5 linked regions of the Daphnia pulex genome follow. The protein of the gene in region 5 purifies or fractionates together with the protein of the main gene of each other region. This does not show direct contact. Links are inferred from orthologs where the notes say so. Each region holds a gene or a part of one and is shown on either strand. Other genes may lie near its edges. The genes, in order: ubiquitin carboxyl-terminal hydrolase 22-like, transcription initiation protein SPT3 homolog, transformation/transcription domain-associated protein-like, SAGA-associated factor 29-like and transcriptional adapter 2-beta-like.

Region 1 (4,060 bases), on a different chromosome or scaffold from region 5:
ACACCAGCAGGTCTCGAGAGAAAAAAGGGAATTACCGTATACTTATATGGGCTGGTCATCAGCAGGGCGAAGCCATAGGGTTGTTGGATACGTTTGAAAGTATAGAAAAACATGTATATACTTAAATATTGGGAAGCGAGTTCTTCTCCAGCGGCCATTTAGACACATTTCCAGTTTCTTCTTCACGTCCTCGAGGGGCTTTGGGAGTCCTTTTTTTTTCTATTATCAGCTATAAAGTTAAGCTTCGAGAACCTAAAAGAAAAGAAAAATAAAATGAAAAAGAATCCATTTTGAAGGGCATTTCGACTATATAACACTGGCAGACATCCCCAAGTTCTTTTCTTCAAGATTTTGACTTTCAAGGCCACAAGATTATTCCACAACAGCATCATTATTCACGACACATCGTGTCCAATTGGATATCACATGGTTTTTTGGCCACCTCGAAAGCGTTATTATGAAAATTTCGCGTCAAGAATGACTTAACACGTGGGGAGAGATAACTATTTACACACACACACCAGCTGATTGACCATGTCGAATTTATTAACCTTGGATTGATCTTAATTCATTCAGACATGTGGCGATTGAAATGCATCGCCGACATAATCTAGTTTGATTGCCAAAATTGATTGCAAACCAGTTGCCACTTACTTATGGCAGAAATGTGATGTGTTGCACACGTCGTCGATCTCGGCCATTGTGGTCGAATATCGTCGATAAAGGAGACGGTGACGTTTGGTTATTTCACGGCTCGTTGCAATAGCTCAACTTTCGATTTTATTCCACTCCGTTTCACTTCATCCAAGGGCTTCATCATCCGTGTAAACATCACTTTCCAACATTGTTGTTTTTTTAATGCAAGAGTTTCACATTCCACGAGCATTTTGATTCTGGCAAAACGTCTTCTTCGAAATCCCGACCTCATTTTCACCCAGCCAAAACATTGCCAATTATCTTGAATTCGGAAGAAAAGGGGGAAACAAAAACACGTTTCGTTCCAATCTTTTGAAATCATTATATAAAATGAGGTTATCTCCTGGGGAATTGCTTCCTGCACCAAAAAAAAAGTTCACTAGTCCATGTATTATTTCCGAACAAAAGCTAGCGGTTACCACATTTCCGGCGGCCAGGATATAATTGATTTGTTGTCTGCGGTTTTCACACAAAAATCTCCCTCCATTTTTCCTCAAAAAAATCTTGTCTGCTCAACGTTGCACGAGGTTGTTATTTTGGACAGAAGATGGCGATGGCGCTTTACCATTTTAGCAGAATAAATTTTTTTTTTTGGCCTACAGAAAAGGAAAGAAGCTATGGCGTTTAGATAAATTGTTTCTTCTTGAGAAAGCCGTCGAGGTTGGGCTTGTAGAGGCCGAAATTTATTAATTTTCTATAAGGTCTCTATTAAAACGTGTGGAATTATAAAGCCGCCAACATTTTGCCCAAGTCTAATTCACCGTCGGTGGCCATGTCGGCTGCCCATGGCTGTCTCCACTTGAACAACTTCAAAGCGGCCAAGGGGACTAGGCCCTACCGGCTCATTCATTCCTTTTTTGTGGCATGCACATCTTCAGAAGCCCGTAAACGCAAGGTAAGAGTTCAAGTATTGTTTCTTTTAAATCACTCCTTTACTCATCATTTTTGTTGCTAGGCCAAATCGTGTGTGTGTCATGTCTGTCAGCGAAGAGGACCCAGGCTTCATGCCTGCCTTCACTGCATTTTCTTTGGCTGCTATGGTGCTGGTCACATACAGGCCCACTCTCAGCAGCGGAAACATTTCTTAGGTAATTCGACAACCAAAAATCAAATCTCATTGATACTAATGCAGCCTCCTTTTTTTTACAGCTGTAGATCTGACTTATGGAGTTGTGTGCTGCTTTCAGTGTGGGGATTACGTCTATGACCGAGAATTGGAAACTATTGCTCAAAAGCATCAAACCAAAGCTTCTCTCTCCTTGGGACTGGGTCAAGTCTATCATTCATGGGAACCTTCTGAGGAAGAAATTGAGCTCCTCAAAAAGCATACACGACGCAAGAAGATCACAGACTCTGCCACTATCGGTTCATTATTTAAAAAAATTCATTATCCAATCTTTTATCTTAACTCCATGTTTCATTCATGGCAGGACTCAGAGGTCTAGTGAATTTGGGCAACACCTGTTTCATGAACTGCATAGTACAGGCTCTCTTAAAAGTACCTCTTCTCAGAGATTTCTTCTTGTCGGATCGTCATATTTGTCAGTTCCAAGACGAACCGAGTCGCTGTCTGGTCTGCGAAATCTCTCGCCTATTCCAAGAGGTATGTCATCCAAAAAACAAGAATCCTCGTTTCCTGTGAGAAATCTATTTTCGGATTCATAACACTCCTACTAGACTTATCGCTTCTTTTTTAATCTTCTCTTTCGCAGTTCTATTCGGGGAACAAGGCTCCTCTGACATTGCACCGACTTCTTCACTTGATATGGACTCACGCTCGTCATTTAGCTGGATATGAACAGCAAGACGCCCACGAATTTTTCATAGCAACTTTGGATGTACTCCATCGACACTGCAGGTGAAATTATTCATTGGCTATAAAAGTCGTGAGAAACGTGACATTCTAAATATAAATGATTTTTAACAGAGGACCAAATGAGCAACAGTCGACTCAGCCTCAAGAGAACTCTGTCAATCGGTGCACATGTATCATAGATCAAATTTTCACTGGTGGTTTGCAGTCAGACGTCGTTTGTCAAGCTTGCCAGTAATAACTATTTCAAATGTTTGATGTCCTAAATTTGCTGGTCTTAACGGTTATTTTGTTTTTGTTCACTGCAGCGGTGTCTCTACAACAGTAGATCCTTTTTGGGATATTTCCCTGGACCTCGGTCCGTCACCCAGCACGAAAGTCGTCACCACTGGCAACGGCCCTGGATCGATTCCCACTTCCTTGCAGGACTGTTTGGAGCGATTCACCCGGGCAGAGCACTTGGGATCTTCGGCTAAGATCAAGTGTTCGCGATGTCTTAGCTACCAAGAATCCACAAAACAACTGACGATGAAGAAACTGCCAGTGGTTGCTAGTTTTCACCTAAAGGTGCGTATTGTTTTGTTTTTTTATTGACTTTGAACGTCATATTATGAACCACTCATCGTTATTTTTTTCTTTACTTTATGCAGCGCTTTGAACATTCCAATCGATTCCATAAGAAGATCTCGTCATTCATCGCCTTTCCAGAATACCTGGACATGAGTCCATTCATGTCCCACCGTCGAAACATCAATAACAACGTCAATTCGGATTCTCCGGACCGGGCTGATAGGCCCGTCCACAAGCCCCTTATTTCCACTGAAAACATGTAAACTTGTTGCTCGGTTTATTGAGAAAACGACCGAATGTGACTGTGACGGAATCCTCGTTGCTTCCTTCCTTCTCACCCCACCAGGTATTCTCTATTTGCTGTGATCAACCACGTCGGAACCATTGAAGCCGGTCACTACACGGCCTACATCCGGCAGCACCGAGACCATTGGTTCAAGTGCGATGACCATCTCATCACCAAAGCTGATATTCGCGACGTCCTCCAAAGTGAAGGGTATCAAATATTCCACAAAAACAAACTTAGTTTAAAATATTTTGCAATTTGCTTGGTTGTTCTTGGATATTAATTGGGTGATTTGGTTTTTCAGGTACCTACTCTTCTACCACAAGATGATATTGGAGTATGAATAGAAATGGAGAAGAAAAATGTTTGTAAAGGGCAGCTCAACCGAGTCAACTTTTTTTTTTTTGCATGCAACATCCATCCCTCCATTCACAAGACCTTTTTTTTGTTTGTTTTGTTTTTCCTTTTTTAATTTCCCTTTCTCACTTCCACTTCCAGACAGTTCATCGGCGGTTAATGACCGTAGAAAACGACCATTTTCATTTTTTCTTTTTTCACGATTCAATAAAATATGAAAAAAACACAAAATGGTTAGAACAAGGAATTGAAAGACGAAAAAAAAAGCGAGATTTCTCTGACATAAACCCTCCCATTGGTGTTTCTGCCCTTTGGATTCTTTTGATTGTAAATCCCAA
Region 2 (3,466 bases), on a different chromosome or scaffold from region 5:
GGATTCTTCGTCTGATCTGACTTGGAAGAAAGTTCCACAAATGGAAGGGATGATGGACGAATTGGAGCGTACTTTAGTGGCTGACCAGCGATTCCAAAAAGCATGTAGTATCGTGCTAGACCTTAGATAAAGAATATATATCATATCCAAATAAGCAGGTCTCCGAAATGTGCAGCCTTACTAAAGATACTTTCCAAATGAGCCACTGTTGAAGCAGTAAATCTAACAAATGTATTCTCTAATCCATAGAAACAAAGACTAAGAACCTAGTAAAATAAATGAATGTGGTTAAGAAATTTCTTCATGACATTATAAGAAACACTGTTTTACCTTGAGAAGGTTAAGATTGTTTGGATCGGAATTTAGGTGTTGCTCTTGGAATTTTATGAACTGGATGATACATGTGTTAATTACATCCTTTGATATTGTAGACCAATCCTTTTCTCCCGAACAGTTGGTAAAATTGCAGAGAATTTTCAGAATGAGAACTGTTTGATTATTGATTTGTTGTTCTTCATTCAATTTATTGATCAAGAATCCAGAAGGACTAAGCACTTTCTCCAAAGCCTAATTTAGTAATTTCAATGGGAAACATTATTGTTCAAAATTTTTCATTCATTCCCAGTTTCAGACCTACTTTAGTTTGTTTAACTTCTTTGAAGTTGACTGCCACAGCAAGACAATTGAAAATGTCAGTAAATATTAAATGATTTTCATTCTTAAGGGATTTTATAATCCAATCAATTAATTGCTCTGATGCTTGACTTGTTAAGTGTACATTTGGAAGTTGTAAAACTTGTTCCCATATTTGACAAGTCTTGGCAACTTTAAAAGATTCTTCATGTTTCACAATTTTTAAAACATCTGATACTAAAATTACAGAATCCTATAAACATAAGATTTTAAACAGTGAAATGAATATAACTTTTATGGAATCTTACTTGAACATTGACTGACGACGATTCCAATTCTTTCCTTTTAAGATCGAAGAAAAGGGTGTTCAGATTATCCAAGAAATTTGTTATTTCTTCCGGATTTGCATTTTTCTTATCTAACAATAGGTTGAGCTTTTCTCGAACCCCTGTCAGATAATTTGTGTCTAATGATTTAAGTTGAGAAAGAGCCATGACTCTATCTCGATTGTCACACTTTGTTTACAAATTGAAGGTCCTTGATTTTTTCGACATTTTCGTCTGCTATGTGTCGACGAAGTACCGAAGGCATCCGCTTGGTTTTTTTTTTTCTTAATTGAAAAATGTTTAAGATTAATGAAAGCGTGGTTCATTCAAAAGTTCATAAAAAATAAAGATTTTTTTTTCCTTACTAAATTTTGGGAAAAAAATTGAAATAGTTTCAAAATTAGCTTTGGCATTGAGGCAAATTCAAATATGTCTAGCTAGGCTAGCAGACTACCACACAATACCTTCTTTTAGGGTTCAGTTCAGACTTCAAACAATAACAAATGGAGTTTTAGAAAACACCGGTTGATATTACTATTTGGTACACGAATTATACCAACACAACTGATATTTTGTAAAAATTAGCAAAATTCTCAATCTCCTAAAAATGCCAGCTGCTGATGTATCCACTAATTCTTCCACCGATGGATGGTACATCTTGGGTAAGTTCATATTAACGACCAACAATGTCAACATTTCCTAACTACATTTAATTCGACATGTTTAGAAATCCAAAAAATGATGTATGGATTTGGCGACAGCAAATATTCGCTGAAAGAAACTGCTGAATTAGTAGAGAAAATTGTGAAGGAACAACTAATTCAGTTCCTGAATGCACTGTCTGAGGTTGCTGTTAAAATTAACTCAAAGAAAATTGGTATCAAAGAATTTCTAGTCTTACTTAGGTAGGTAACCTTCAGTTTAACAATATCTCAAGTTATTCAATATATTGAAGTGATTTCTGTTAAATTAGGCACAGTCCAGTTAAACTGAGAAGATTTTGCACCTATTTACAAGCCAGTGGGTTTAAGGATTTGGCAAAAGAAGATGATTTGCCTAAAGACATAATGACTGAATTTTCTGATCTTCACACTGGAAATAAAAAACTGAATTCTGCTCTTGCATTCCTACAACACCTTGATCCATCATGTTATCTGTGTAATGTGGCAGATCCATCTAAACCTTTCCTGTTACCTGATGATGCCCTCAAGGAACGAAATGAAAGGATTGAGAGAATGACATTAGCCATGGAGAAGGGGCAGTACATTGAATATTCTCAAGTATTTTGATTCAACCTAACTGCTTTTTCAAAATCTAGATTTAACAGAATTGTTTTTGTCAGGCCAAATCTACCTCATTTAAGAGAGGCCAGCCTTCTGGTAAATTTCAAGATTGGTTACTTAAAGATTCTCCAGCTCCTGAGGTTGCTTTAAGTGCGACAGCTTGGTCTATTCTCAGTTACTTTGCTTACGAAACCATCGCACAAATAGTAGATCTGGCCTTCATAGTACGAAGAGACAATATGGCTGGGCAAGTGAGTGACGCAGTTCAACGTAACACTGCACCAAGAGTATCTCCAGCGAATGCTGATTTGTTCAAGGTAAAAGGATTAAAATGAATGTTACAATAATTATAATCATTCTTTAAAACAAAATTTCCGTATTTTTAGCCGACATGGTCAAATTCGATGAAACCTCTTCAAACAGCGGAAGTCTCTGAGGCCATCAGACGGTTCAACAATACACACAACTCAATTTTTTCTCCATTCCGAAGAAATGGTGTTCCTCCTCCTGGACATCGACTTCTGGCACTGTAATTTAAACGTACTGCAAGGGCTTCAAATTCAATATGGCGAAAGCTGCGTCGTAAATTGTTAATATCACTTTCAACATCCAAATTCGTGCGTGCATTGTTGGATGCGATCGGTTGTGTTCATCCTAAAAATAGGAAACTTTAATGTAAAATTGTATGCAAGAAACCTGAATAAAGAATACTCACACATAGGGTGCGAACTGAACTGTAGTAATGGGAATAATCCTGCGATAAAAATAGCAAAAATCGCCATAACTCTGAAGTTATCTTTGCGATGCGAGTGAGTGAAAATTTGTTCAGCATAGGAACAAATCCAGCAATATATTTGGAGGTGATTTCAATTTCTGCTTTATGCTTCAGCAACTTAAAATTGGTCGTATCCAAACTTGGCAGTGGAGGGTAAAGTGAGCAATCCACTCCATCAGAAAATTTTTGAAGTATACAGGCAACCCTACTTCTGTTGTACAAAACCTTTATTGCTTCTAAAATAGAAATGAAAAATTCAATAATTAGTTATTAAAAAGGAACCATGATTTTGGTAAACTGAATACCTCTGAATTGAGGATCAATTTCTAGTCCAGCTAGTCCTACCGCATGCATTGGTTTTGTGGTGTCATTGTGCAAGAAATCATAACTGATAACAGCCTCTGTGATCCATGCTTCAGACATACTTTTACCTTCCGTTGGATGCCTGG
Region 3 (4,208 bases), on a different chromosome or scaffold from region 5:
GCTTGTGAAGTCCACTTTGAAGACTGTTTAGACTTTGAAGAAGATTCGGAAGCAATGGCAAAAATTCTTGATAAAGGAGGTCATGACTACCTCCGCCGATGGATCGAAAAAGTGCCCGCAGCAGGAGGAAATAGTTGTAGGGCTCTTTAGCACTCAAAGCTAATTCCATAGATTTGTTGACAATGTGCGGTAGATGTGGCTTTAACATTTGTTCATTCTCCGCAGCAAACAAAGAAACGCTACCAAACACAAGTTTGAACAACTTCAAATAAAGATTAGAACGCTCCATGTTCAATCCCATTTCTTCCATGTGATTCAGCAAATATTCGACGAGGATGGTGGCGAAAACAGCGGAGGTGGAAGGGTTTGCAAGAAATGAATTTGCAACTACCTGCAAAGCGCTATTGCGGTAAATGCGCTCTACCACGTAGTCAATTGTTGTGGCAAATACTTCCTTGAAAGTCTGCGGATTCATCATGGCGAAAACACCAGCAAAATGTTCCAATACTTCTTTTTCTTCTTTAGAGCGAATAGTTTGTGCTGGAACAGTCGGCCGAGCAGCGGAAGCCCCACCGACCGGAAAGCCAACGACGGTGCTATTAAGACTGCCAGAGGTCTCCGCTCCGACCGCACTCGGAATATTTAAGGCGTACACATCAAGTGCTTTCATCGCCCACTGCACCAAACGGATGAATATCACCGTTTCTTTAGGTTGCAAATTCTTGCCTGTAGTAGCAACACTAGTCGTAGTATCGAGTGGAGTTTTGCAGGCCGCACATCCCCAGGTGATGGTTTTCACACCGCACACAAGCGTTTTAACTAAGCTTCGACATTCAGTGATGCTGAAGACAGGTCCCGCAACTCGAACAGCAAACTTCATCGTTTTCTCTTTTTCATCTAGAAGAACTAAAGATGACCGAGTATCTTCCGGTTTCGTTTCATTCGCAGATGACGGTGAAGATGACGGTGGTGCAGCTCCATTCTGTGACCAACTTAACGAAGGAGAAGAAGGAGGCTCAGTACTAGGGGTTGCATTTGTTCCACTGTTGTCTTGCTTGTTCTTTGTCCCAGCTAAAATAGGCAACTGTAATTTCACGATGCTTTTGAATTTTAAAACAAAAACTTCAAGCATTTCTATCAGCAACTCTCTTCCAGGTCCATTTTCAACATCTGAACGTTGTCGTATGCACTCCACCAAATTCAGCAATAACTTGCAAGACATAGTCTGAATGCTTGTTGGAAGCGATTCGTCATGAACGTTTTTTGAGAATAGATGAACTGCACGAGCAAGGTCAAGCATTGGAAGGTGTTGTCGAACATGATGAACGAGGTCAGCTAACGTACTATAGGCTAAAGGTCTTAAAGATTCATTAGTTGTCCAACCTTTGCCAAACAGTAAATTTTCGTCAAATAAGCGCTCCATGAATGGAATGAAATGAAGACGGAGGTCAGTTGCCAGGATGTGCCTTGATGCTATCAGCAATTCTTTCCTCAAATGAGCAACTTCCATGGGGCACAGACTTAAGAGTCCCAGTATACCCTTAACCATTAGAGTAGCTTGTTGAGCAACAGCTTCTTGATAAATGCGAATGATGTAGGCCAGGAAAGATAGCGTTTTGATTTGGGCTCCAATGAAGTCTACAAAAATTTCTTTGTTAAATGCAGGATTTGCCTTGTGCTGGGCTGATGGCTGAAGGGTAATTGTAGTCATGATGAGAGGTATAAACTCTGCTACATCTTGATGAACATTATGCTTGTAAAGTTGATACATTAGGACCACAATTATTGGGAGTTCCTGCAAAACTTTCAACGACAACACTCCTTTTGGTATCAAATTATATGATATGTTGTTTCCATCAGGAGTTCGTGTTTCTGTGAGAACAACAGTGGCAGTAAATGTTTCAGCAAGTACTGCTTCAATGTTTAATTCACTTAAATCTTTAACTTTGATGGGGCTCCTTGGTTCAAATATCTTGTTTAGTTGATTCGGTAGGTCACGGTAGATGCCTTTGACAAATTGTAGAAAAGTTTGGATCTCCACACTATATTGGGGACGGTACTGTTTGTGAAGTTCAATTATGATTCGAAGACATATCAGCACATTATCTTCATTTTCTCTCTCAAGTAATCTGAACATGAGGTTAAGTGATTGTTTCACATATGGCCTTAAGTGTTCATTGGTGGGAAGACGATGAAACATTTCCAAAATCAATTTTCGGACTTGCTGAATGTTGTACTCTGCAATGAAGAGTGGTTCACTGTCTTGCAGTATCTTGAGAAAATTTTTCATAGCATGATCCAAGAATGCTGGATACTGTGGGGAACTGACAATGACTTCCAAATTTTCACTTAGCTCTTGGGCTGCTTTTAGTTTGTTCTCATCCTTTGCCCCAGGATCGGAGAGCATTGAAACAAAAGAGGTAAAAGTATTCATTTGGGCCACAACATCCAACCCAGGTACCGCATTAGAAGGCCCCATTTTATCTAAATGAATGAACAACATTGAAAAATTGTTCAAAAAAAAATGAAAAAGCTCAGACTCCTCACCTGTAGTTGACGAAGTCGTGTGGTAACGTCAATTCAAATGTAGCGTCTCAGGTAGGGTTCAAAAACAATTTATATAGGCTACTCAAGATTGACATTGTTTAAAGAAGGTATTATAGATAATGACAAGCTAGAAAACAGCTAACATCATTAAGCAGATTTATGAACGGATTGAATAAAATTCAGAATAAACGCCTGTACGCTTCACCACAGAGCCAGACTGCTTCATTTACTATTTAAAACTTAAAAGTTGACTAAAGAATCATGCTTATTGCTGAAATGAAAAACAGGCCGCAACACATGAAAATCATTCACTCATCGAGAACAAACGAGTCATGTAGCACCATCTGTTGGGTGAAATAAAAATACGGAAATGGACAGAAAATGGAGCCATCTGTGAGTAAAAGCAATTCAAGAGTCAGTTTGTAATTTTGTTAGCGTACATTTAGTTACACTTTACAAAACAGAAAGGAACTAATTCTTTACTGCATAACAGAGCTAATTGATCGAATAAAATATTCGTAAAAAAATTAGTCTGATGTTTTTAATTTACGATTTAATGGATTCAACATAAGCGTAACTATCTCGAAGCAGATCCCAAAACAGTCGCAAAGTCAAAGAAATGTGTTTATTACTTTATTTTGTATTTCAGACATACATGAAATGAATAAACGAAATCAAACGGGAGGTGGAATTGGAACAAATCCAGTTGATGGTGGTGGCGGCGGCGGCGCCCAGGAAGGCGGGGGCGGCGGAATCGGAGCTAACCTAAAATATGAATGTTGATTCTATATAGTAAATATTCATATGAATCTAATCACTATTATATTTACGGAAGAAAATTCGAAGATGGAGGTGGTGGAGGTGGAGGAGCCCAGGTGGGTGGTGGAGGAGGAGGTGGAGGCATCGCCATTGTAAGTCCTTGCAACGGAGGTGGGGGAGGTGGAGGCAATCCTGACATTCCCATGTTGCTCATTTGCGGAGGAATAGGAGGGGCATCGGCAAAAAGTTGATGAGGCCGATCTGTCTGAGCAAGAGGATTTTGTGCTGCCAGAAGCCTTTCTGCTGCTGATCCATGGCGTTCACCCTTAGAATCCTTCTTGAAGGCATATGATATAGTAATTGGCCTATTACATAAATATTGGCCATTCATGGCTTCAATGGCAGCATCAGATGCATCAAAACTGGCAAAGTTGATGAATGCAAAGCCTTTTGAATTCCCTGTTGTAGGATCCCTCATGATCTGCATTCAAAAAAACAAAATAGTAAAATTTAAAACCCCAACAATGATTTCAAATTTACCTTTGGTGTCTGAAGAATTACGCCAAATGCTGAAAATGTGTCATACTAAAAAAGCAATAATAGATTAAATTGTGTTTTGAACCTAAAGGAATGCTGATTGGTTACCAAAAGTTTTTCATCAACTTCAGGATCTAAGTTTCCAATGAAAATATTTGCTCCAACATCTAAGTTTTTCTGGTGTGCTGATGCTTTGTTTACCCGAATGGGTTTACCATACAGCTTTATCATGTTCATAATTTTACATGCGTAGTCAGCATCATCTTCACTGAGGAATTCTATGAATCCGTATCCTTGATGCAGTAAAGTAATCCGATCTTTAGGCATATGCACATTTACTACAGGACCACCTTGAACGAACAACT
Region 4 (3,171 bases), on a different chromosome or scaffold from region 5:
GTTAATTTCTGTTTTATATTTAAAAAATACAATTCTATTGAGCAAATCTTTTCACAAAAGCTCTTAATTAGAAACATATAGTTGTTGTAAAATGTCATCTAAATCGAGAATTCAATGTCTGACCTGATTCCTGACAAAAATCACATGTGTAGCACACACTTTTAAAGTAGACTAAAATATAGGCAAATTCTAACCCACTCGAGTGTTCTAACAAGTTAAGTGCATGTCTGTGAAAGCTCTTGGCATAATTCAACTGGAAATTGAAACAATTTGCAAAACAAAACGTAATGAAGCTCAGGCTTTACTGCTCAACAGTTAATAGAAAAATTTAAATTACTTTTTGAAACAAAGTCACACAATTTTAATTCAGAAACAAAGTCTTGAATTAAAAAGTTAAGCAATAATTACTTTTTACTGTTCTGCATGGAACGAAACGTGCAACATTCAGCAAGAGACGACATTGTGGGAATGTACAGCAGGCCACATGCGATTACCAATTATGAATTGAAGACAATGTTACACGTTTTGAACCACACACAAAATTAAATTTTATAAAATTAAAGAATAAAAAATGGAATTACCATGTCTATGATCAACAATGTCACGTAAGAAAGTACCAGCAATGACTAAATTTTACCTTCTCGGACAGCGTCTCGACAGCAAAAGAAAGACTGTTCTGTCAGTCGTCTCAGGACTTTGACAGTTTGATGACCCATCCCCCTACACCCCTCTAGAAACAAACACACTAGAGCTGAATAGTTCAATCCCTAAACACGCTGAAATATTTAGCCACCTAGTGACAGCCCTGAGCATCCACGGACGACTAGAATGGGACGGAAAATAAACGAAATATTCGTCATCTCCGTGAAATACATTTAGTAGATAAAAAAAATTATCGAAAAATTAACAGGTGAGCTTTCTTGGTGGAATAGTTATCGTCAGTCATCACCAAAAAGTTACCACACAATGCCGATACATTTTTACAGGGATGTGCAAAATATTAAAATAACTGACTACAAAATAACTAAATAATTTGAGAGTTGAAAATGATCAAAGGCTATATAATAAAACCACTCGAAAAAAAGGCCTGATTTAGAAATTATTGCCATGGTTATACAATTTGAGCATGCTCATGCCATCTGCTAATGACGAATGGAACTAATACAGTTGATGCCATAGTTGCCATGGTGACGACAAAGCAACTGCCGATGTTACGATTTTCAATTTATTGTTTGGAAGGCTGATTTCCGATGACTGTTTTTAAACTCATCTTCATTAATTTAGTAAGGTTATTTTTCTGTGCATAAAAGATATGTAAATTTCAGAATTTAATTTTCTTTAGTTCTTGGTTTTCTTGGTGGCTTTTGCTTGGATTCCAGTCATCATTGCTGGTTTGAGCTCATCATTTAGGAGAGGTAGTTGTTATTAAACATATACATCATGGCTTTGTCATTAGATTCTGCCACACAGCAAGTCCAAGTAAGGTTGATATAATCAGTTGTTAAGGTATTTACTTAGTTCTAATTTGGATTGGGGTGCAGGAACGATTGAAGGGGATCTACAAGTTGGTCAAGCAGATTCAAGAAGAGAAAGTTCGTAATGAAGGTAACTTAAATGCTGTTATCAAAGCTCATGAAAAACTTCAGTCAGATGACAAAATTTCTCCATATCACAAGGTATTTCTATTCCCATATCACTAATTAATCAGCACTAATGAATGCCTATAAAATTATCAGTCTAAATTAAAAGGACTGTATTGCTCTGTGGTGGCTGATGCTGAAAAAGAAGAGGACCTTATTCGTAAGGCATTAAGCAAAATCTATGAAATTCGCGTTATCAGACATGAAAGGAGAATTCAGGTTATTCCCAAGAACGTAAACTTAGAAAATTTCACCTAACATTGTACTAACATTCTTGTTCAGGCAAAACAAGCTGGCAGTAAGGAAACTATAAGAAGAGGTGCTCTCATGAAAATGCTTCTCGTTACTGCTCAAACTCTCCCGCTGTGGATCAGTAAGTCAGGACAACAGCCACCAGCATTATGTGGAGCAGTTCCAGCTGACCCAACTTACGTTGCCAAAGTATTACATTATTCGAATGTCATAAACTGTTAATTGACTAACCGAAACACCTTATATGTATGTCAGCTGGGAGATATTGTTGCGGCTTTGGTAAAGAGTACAGACGGCGATGAGAATTGGATTTTGGCAGAAGTCGTTCAATATTTAGCTTCTTCTGGGCGCTATGAAGTGGATGATATTGACGAGGAACAGAAAGAGCGACACACTTTAAGCAAACGCAGAGTAATTCCTCTTCCTTTGATGCGAGCTAATCCTGAAACCGATCCCGATGCTTTGTTCTCAAAAGGAGCCACTGGTAAAAACAAAACAAAAAAATCGCAAATTTTAGCTGATCCGACGTTAGCATATTATTAACATACTAAACATTTGTTTTTAGTCATGGCTTTGTATCCACAAACGACCTGTTTTTACAAAGCGGTAATCAATCAATTACCCCAAACAGCTCAAGATGAATACCAAGTTCTTTTTGAAGATTCTAGCTATACTGAAGGATTCAGTCCGCCTTTGATGGTGGCGCAACGATATGTCATAGCTATCAAAGAGAAAAAGAAATGATTTCAAATACATTTGACCCTTTTTTCTATTCTCTCTTCTGTACAGCAGGATTTGTGTTTTTCACTACTTCTTCCAACCACGTATGAAACATGAAATAGAATCTAAATGGGGGAGTTTTTGAATCCGTAGTCGGCGTAGTCAGAAGGCTTCATTTTATCGGAAACTTTAGGGAAGTTCGGATCTCCTGGGTAAACTGCGGGTCTGGAGCCGAAAATTGCAAATCCTTTCTTGCGAGTCCAGTCCTAAAAGTTAAAATGTAGTATTTTGGGTGCTGTCCACTATTAGAGGCAAATACTTACATGAGAGTTGTACTTCAGATTGTAGGTAATTCCCAAAACCAGCCATCCAGCAAGAAGATATTTACCAACCCAATAGCGAGTAATCTGAGTTTTGTCGCCCTATGAATAAGAAAAAGAATTAGAACACAGATTTTATGAATTATGTAGTAGTCTCACAACCACAAAATGGACAGTTAATTAATTTTTAAAAGTAAAGTGTTTTAGTTCACATTACATCTGCTCGAACTAAATCGGGG
Region 5 (4,133 bases):
ATCCTAAATTAATAAAGTTTTACAAAAATTAGATTAAATAAGTAAATATTGGGTAATGTTTTCTACCTTTCGGTTTGAATTAAGCATCTCTTCAAATTCGTCGGGTGTCATTTTAGGTACCGAATGAACCATATCTAATAGAGAACGACCAAACGTGTTGTCAGCCGTTTTGGAGCCACTCATTACGTCGTCAACATAAGCCAAGATAGTGTCCAGCATGTTTTCCATCTGCTGCGAGGCTTCAACAATCTGAGTAAGATCCGAAGCGATGCCCGCTTGACGTTTAACCGAGGTTTTGGTTTTCTGGCAGGCATTTACTGAAAAACAATCAAAGATTAATTCCCAGTATACATACACATTTTCTATTATAATTACATCCAATAGTTTCTGGGTCATAGCATGCTATCTCAACAGAAACAGGAGCAAACATGCATCCCATAGTTTTGCCTGTGATACCCATTGGGACACTAGATGATAATTTAAAGATAATTATTTTTCAAAGCAATTGTATCATACTGAATTAATAGCATGTACCTGACATAAGCTTTGATTCCCATACGGGTATCTTGCAATGTGGTGTCCACTGTAATGTGAACAGGATTGGAGGACTCTCTGGAGTAGTACTCATGAATAAGAGCAGAGTGAGATGTGACTCCAGTACCAGTTGCCCACCAACCTACAATGCTTTCTTGGGGATTAACTTTACGATGCAAGTCATACATATCCTTGGCAAAGTCCAATTCCACAGCCACTTCTTCTTCTGATTCATTGTGAGGCACACAAAAGCAATTGGTCACTTCCACACCATTTTTATCTGATGTGCCTGGAAAAAATCAATATGAAAAATGAGTTATCACAACTTCGATTTCGCATATTATAGGAATTTAGGTATATAATCCAAAGATTTTGTCAGGTACTCGATACCGATACACGTGTCAACAGTCGAAAAAACAATAAAACGCGAAAGCAAACGGATGATCTAAATTGTATGTTACCAAGCAACGTTCCAATTACTCTCTGTGCATCAGGATTACGACGCTCATAAGAGTCAATAATCTGAAATAATACAACAGGATGCAACTTGACAGTCAGATTGAGAGCCATTTTGCGTGACTTTTTTTGCAGACCACTACCGCATTGGAGCTGAAAAAGCCGACACGAACTAGTTGCCAATTGGTGATATATAATACGTTGAATTATTTCTATTTACCAAACACGTCTCGTTATACATTAAAAAAAATTTAATTTAATAAAATGTACGGTGTACATTGTTTATAAATTTTACACGTCATTTTAATTATTTTTTAAAGACTTCTCACTTCTCAGTCACCAGAGGGCGCGACCAATGCTTTCGCTAGCGTTGGCATAGCTTAGTTGTTCTTGATGGGAAGGGAAGGCTAAAGATGGCGGGTAAAAAAAAATGCTCTCGTTGAATCCTTATTTTCGAAAATTGAAAATCTTTCTTTCTGTATCCATTCCTCAGATTTATTTATGAAGCATCGATGTGGCTACTGTCAGGACGACATCCTTGGCATTCGAATCCGATGTAACGTTTGTGTCGATTACGAACTTTGTTTACAGGTGTGGTATAAAATCTTCGTTGAATGAATCCCTCCCCTTCCTTCTTTGTTGTTTGTTATGACGCCCACCGGAGTGGTATTGCCGGTTGGTCGGCGGCGAATTTGAATTATTTTAATAACACAGTTTTGCAATGTTTCTTTCTAGTGTTTCTCTCTTGGCTGTGAAATTGGACCACATAAAAGTAGTCATGGATATAGATTAATAGTGAGTATTTAAGTTTTTCTATCAAACTCTCAATAAATACTTTATTTTTAATTTCTAGGATCCTGGTACTTTTAGTATTTTTCCTGACCAACAAAGGGAGGATGAAGGTGGCTGGATTGCAAGGGAAGACTATCAGTTACTTGATGCAATAGAACAGTTTGGTTATGGAAATTGGGAAGATGTTGCGAAACATGTAGAAACACGGGATTCAGAAAGTAATTGTTGATTTTTATCAGGATTTTATCATCAGTTACTCTCCAATTATGTTTTTTTTACAGAATGCAAAGAACAGTACTGTGATAGATTTGTCACAGGAACAATAGGTAAACTAACATGGCAAGGGCTTCCAAATGGACTTCTCGCAAGTGGAGAGTCTCGCTTGGCAGCAATTGATCACACTTGTCCAGATAATGCACCTCTATCTCCATCCATCACATCACGACTACCACCTTTAGCTATTCAACCTGAAGAAACATTAGAACTTGGATACATGCCTCAAAGAGATGATTTTGAAAGGGTGGGTCTTAATTTGTCATGAAACAAATTGTCTTAAAAACTTCAACATTATTTTTATTTTTTGTAGGAACATGACAATGAAGCTGAGGCAATTGTTTCTCATCTTGCCATTAATCATGACGACGAGGATATTGATTTGGCTCTAAAACTGGCTCAAGTCGATATGTATACTCGCCGCCTGAGGGAAAGAGCCCGAAGGAAGCGGGTTGCTCGGGATTTTCAACTGGTATCCCAATTTTTTAACGCTATCAAGAAAGAGAAGGAAAAACCTACGACTGCCGCAAAAAAAAGGGAGTCCCAAAAGGAAAAGTAATTCATGTTTCAATTAGTTAACTATAGATTCATTACAAACAGTTACATTTTTTTCCTTGTACAGAGAAACGCAAGAAAAATTTCGTTCGTTTTCCCAATTCCACACGGCACCTGAGCATGAGCAATTCTTACGCAATCTAACTAAAGAGAGAGCTTTGCGATTGCGGATTCGAGAACTAATCAAATACCGTAGGAATGGATTAACTCGACATGAGGAATGTACTGAATATGAACGACTGCGATACTTCCGTGAAAGAAAGAAAGAAGCCCGGTTGGAGCGCCAGCGCCGGAAATCCGTAAGCAATTTTCCCAGTCTGTACTATTGCTTGCATAGTTTCGTCAAGCGATAGTAAGAGTGTGCGACTGGTTTATTTACCTGTTAATACTTCGTTGAAATGAATCATTATTGGTGGTGTCCATTGGTTGAATATTCGATTTTATTTTTTTACTTATGTGTCTTTATTTTAAGTATCTTACAAGCTAGTTAAATTAGAACCCAAAAAAGACTGGAAATTGAACAATAGACTTTAACGTAGGGAAGCAGTGGACCGGGGCCGATTGTACAAAACCCTGGGACACTACACAAGTCAGAGTAAGCTTTATTATTTCCCCTTTTTTACATACTATGTGCAGTTTAACTCATCAGTTACCTGTGATAGCTTTGCATTATATTACGAAATCTCAACTATATTTCTTAGTTCTTAGAATTGTTAAGTAAATTCGTGGCTTATGTATGTAACTTGTTTTTTTTGTTTTTTTTTTTTTTTTCGCAGCAACGCAAGGGAAGAAGTGCTACTTTCAAGCTTTCGAGACGCAAAAGTCACCTCCTTCGGCAGCAACAACAACAGCAGCGTCCTCAGCGTTTCAAGCAGTCTGCCTCGACTCGGGCCCGTACTCTCCGCTAATACCCGACTTTCACAGTCAGAATGGCAGGAGGCAGTTGCTAATTTCCTCGCCAAGAGCGACGATCTCACTTTATGTCCCGGTTCAGAACTGCTCAGTCCTGCTGAAAAGCAAGTCAGTGAAACGATTATTATAATTATTATTTTTAAAGTTTTATCCAATAATTGTTTTCCTTTAAATCTCAGATTTGCCAAAATCTACGTTTGAGACCATTGTACTATACGTCATTGAAGGCCAATCTCATATTGGTAAGTCGAATCATTCACTCTCTTGATTTATTCACTTGAAATAAAATACAAATCTTTTTCTCAGAGTGGGACCGACAAGACTCCGCTCCTACCCGGCCTGGCTGCTGACGAGCAGTCTATGATTGTAAATTATTTTACGAAAGCCGGTTTTCTGTCTGTCGAGTGAAAACAGCAATTTTGTGTTGAAAAAATATGTGTCTTTTTTGAATAAAGTTCAACTGTTTTTTTTTAAACGAATTTCCAATATTCATTTCATTTTAGTTTTGATAGATTAGTTAAATTTTACGAATAATTTTGAGTATATTAATATAATTTGCATGATAAACCTTTTTTGTTTGATCAGATAAAAGATCACCTGATTTTTTCATC

The links.
Region 1: the proteins of transcriptional adapter 2-beta-like (region 5) and ubiquitin carboxyl-terminal hydrolase 22-like purify together in Drosophila melanogaster (affinity purification with mass spectrometry; 3 studies listed by BioGRID, with this or other methods). This does not show direct contact. The link is inferred for Daphnia pulex from reciprocal best matches to the Drosophila melanogaster genes Ada2b and not.
Region 2: the proteins of transcriptional adapter 2-beta-like (region 5) and transcription initiation protein SPT3 homolog purify together in Drosophila melanogaster (affinity purification with mass spectrometry; 7 studies listed by BioGRID, with this or other methods). This does not show direct contact. The link is inferred for Daphnia pulex from reciprocal best matches to the Drosophila melanogaster genes Ada2b and Spt3.
Region 3: the proteins of transcriptional adapter 2-beta-like (region 5) and transformation/transcription domain-associated protein-like purify together in Drosophila melanogaster (affinity purification with western blotting; 4 studies listed by BioGRID, with this or other methods). This does not show direct contact. The link is inferred for Daphnia pulex from reciprocal best matches to the Drosophila melanogaster genes Ada2b and Nipped-A.
Region 4: the proteins of transcriptional adapter 2-beta-like (region 5) and SAGA-associated factor 29-like purify together in Drosophila melanogaster (affinity purification with mass spectrometry; 4 studies listed by BioGRID, with this or other methods). This does not show direct contact. The link is inferred for Daphnia pulex from reciprocal best matches to the Drosophila melanogaster genes Ada2b and Sgf29.

The regions. Positions count from the first base shown.
Region 1 is NC_060023.1:10,811,920-10,815,979, forward strand, and holds the start of ubiquitin carboxyl-terminal hydrolase 22-like, read left to right. Parts: upstream 1-1,253; 5' UTR 1,254-1,468; coding exon 1,469-1,591; intron 1,592-1,651; coding exon 1,652-1,784; intron 1,785-1,845; coding exon 1,846-2,061; intron 2,062-2,126; coding exon 2,127-2,299; intron 2,300-2,408; coding exon 2,409-2,554; intron 2,555-2,623; coding exon 2,624-2,743; intron 2,744-2,817; coding exon 2,818-3,076; intron 3,077-3,159; coding exon 3,160-3,338; intron 3,339-3,425; coding exon 3,426-3,575; intron 3,576-3,669; coding exon 3,670-3,712; 3' UTR 3,713-4,060. UniProt on the Drosophila melanogaster protein: Histone deubiquitinating component of the transcription regulatory histone acetylation (HAT) complex SAGA. Catalyzes the deubiquitination of histone H2B, thereby acting as a coactivator in a large subset of genes.
Region 2 is NC_060027.1:750,354-753,819, reverse strand, and holds transcription initiation protein SPT3 homolog, read left to right. Parts: upstream 1-1,402; 5' UTR 1,403-1,566; coding exon 1,567-1,621; intron 1,622-1,686; coding exon 1,687-1,864; intron 1,865-1,932; coding exon 1,933-2,239; intron 2,240-2,301; coding exon 2,302-2,559; intron 2,560-2,598; exon of another isoform or gene 2,599-2,628; coding exon 2,629-2,775; 3' UTR 2,776-2,776; coding exon of another isoform or gene 2,777-2,896; 3' UTR 2,897-2,957; downstream 2,958-3,466. Other genes in the region: HEAT repeat-containing protein 6-like, read right to left, coding at 1-121, 182-266, 331-567, 638-886, 942-1,127; DALR anticodon-binding domain-containing protein 3-like, read right to left, coding at 2,777-2,896, 2,958-3,253, 3,323-3,466. UniProt on the Drosophila melanogaster protein: Component of the transcription regulatory complex SAGA, a multiprotein complex that activates transcription by remodeling chromatin and mediating histone acetylation and deubiquitination. The SAGA complex predominantly acetylates histone H3.
Region 3 is NC_060018.1:6,526,819-6,531,026, forward strand, and holds the start of transformation/transcription domain-associated protein-like, read right to left. Parts: upstream 2,813-4,208; 5' UTR 2,548-2,812; intron 2,485-2,547; 5' UTR 2,480-2,484; coding exon 1-2,479. Other genes in the region: splicing factor 3B subunit 4-like, read right to left, coding at 3,222-3,312, 3,378-3,787, 3,847-3,891, 3,952-4,208. UniProt on the Drosophila melanogaster protein: Part of the Tip60 chromatin-remodeling complex which is involved in DNA repair. Upon induction of DNA double-strand breaks, this complex acetylates phosphorylated H2AV in nucleosomes and exchanges it with unmodified H2AV.
Region 4 is NC_060019.1:9,072,660-9,075,830, forward strand, and holds SAGA-associated factor 29-like, read left to right. Parts: upstream 1-1,163; 5' UTR 1,164-1,283; intron 1,284-1,342; 5' UTR 1,343-1,440; coding exon 1,441-1,479; intron 1,480-1,541; coding exon 1,542-1,676; intron 1,677-1,736; coding exon 1,737-1,859; intron 1,860-1,922; coding exon 1,923-2,081; intron 2,082-2,147; coding exon 2,148-2,376; intron 2,377-2,457; coding exon 2,458-2,636; 3' UTR 2,637-2,664; downstream 2,665-3,171. Other genes in the region: uncharacterized protein LOC124191408, read right to left, coding at 2,738-2,878, 2,936-3,034. UniProt on the Drosophila melanogaster protein: Component of both the SAGA and CHAT histone acetyltransferase complexes, which both predominantly acetylate histone H3.
Region 5 is NC_060026.1:11,480,933-11,485,065, forward strand, and holds transcriptional adapter 2-beta-like, read left to right. Parts: upstream 1-1,329; 5' UTR 1,330-1,403; coding exon 1,404-1,410; intron 1,411-1,483; coding exon 1,484-1,581; intron 1,582-1,725; coding exon 1,726-1,785; intron 1,786-1,843; coding exon 1,844-2,000; intron 2,001-2,063; coding exon 2,064-2,302; intron 2,303-2,368; coding exon 2,369-2,610; intron 2,611-2,677; coding exon 2,678-2,909; intron 2,910-3,149; coding exon 3,150-3,205; intron 3,206-3,386; coding exon 3,387-3,630; intron 3,631-3,701; coding exon 3,702-3,764; intron 3,765-3,828; coding exon 3,829-3,930; 3' UTR 3,931-3,992; downstream 3,993-4,133. Other genes in the region: eukaryotic translation initiation factor 3 subunit F-like, read right to left, coding at 1-3, 67-317, 376-467, 535-823, 996-1,104. UniProt on the Drosophila melanogaster protein: Component of several Gcn5-containing histone acetyltransferase complexes that regulate nucleosome organization; involved in acetylation of histone H3, particularly on Lys-10 (H3K9ac) and Lys-15 (H3K14ac).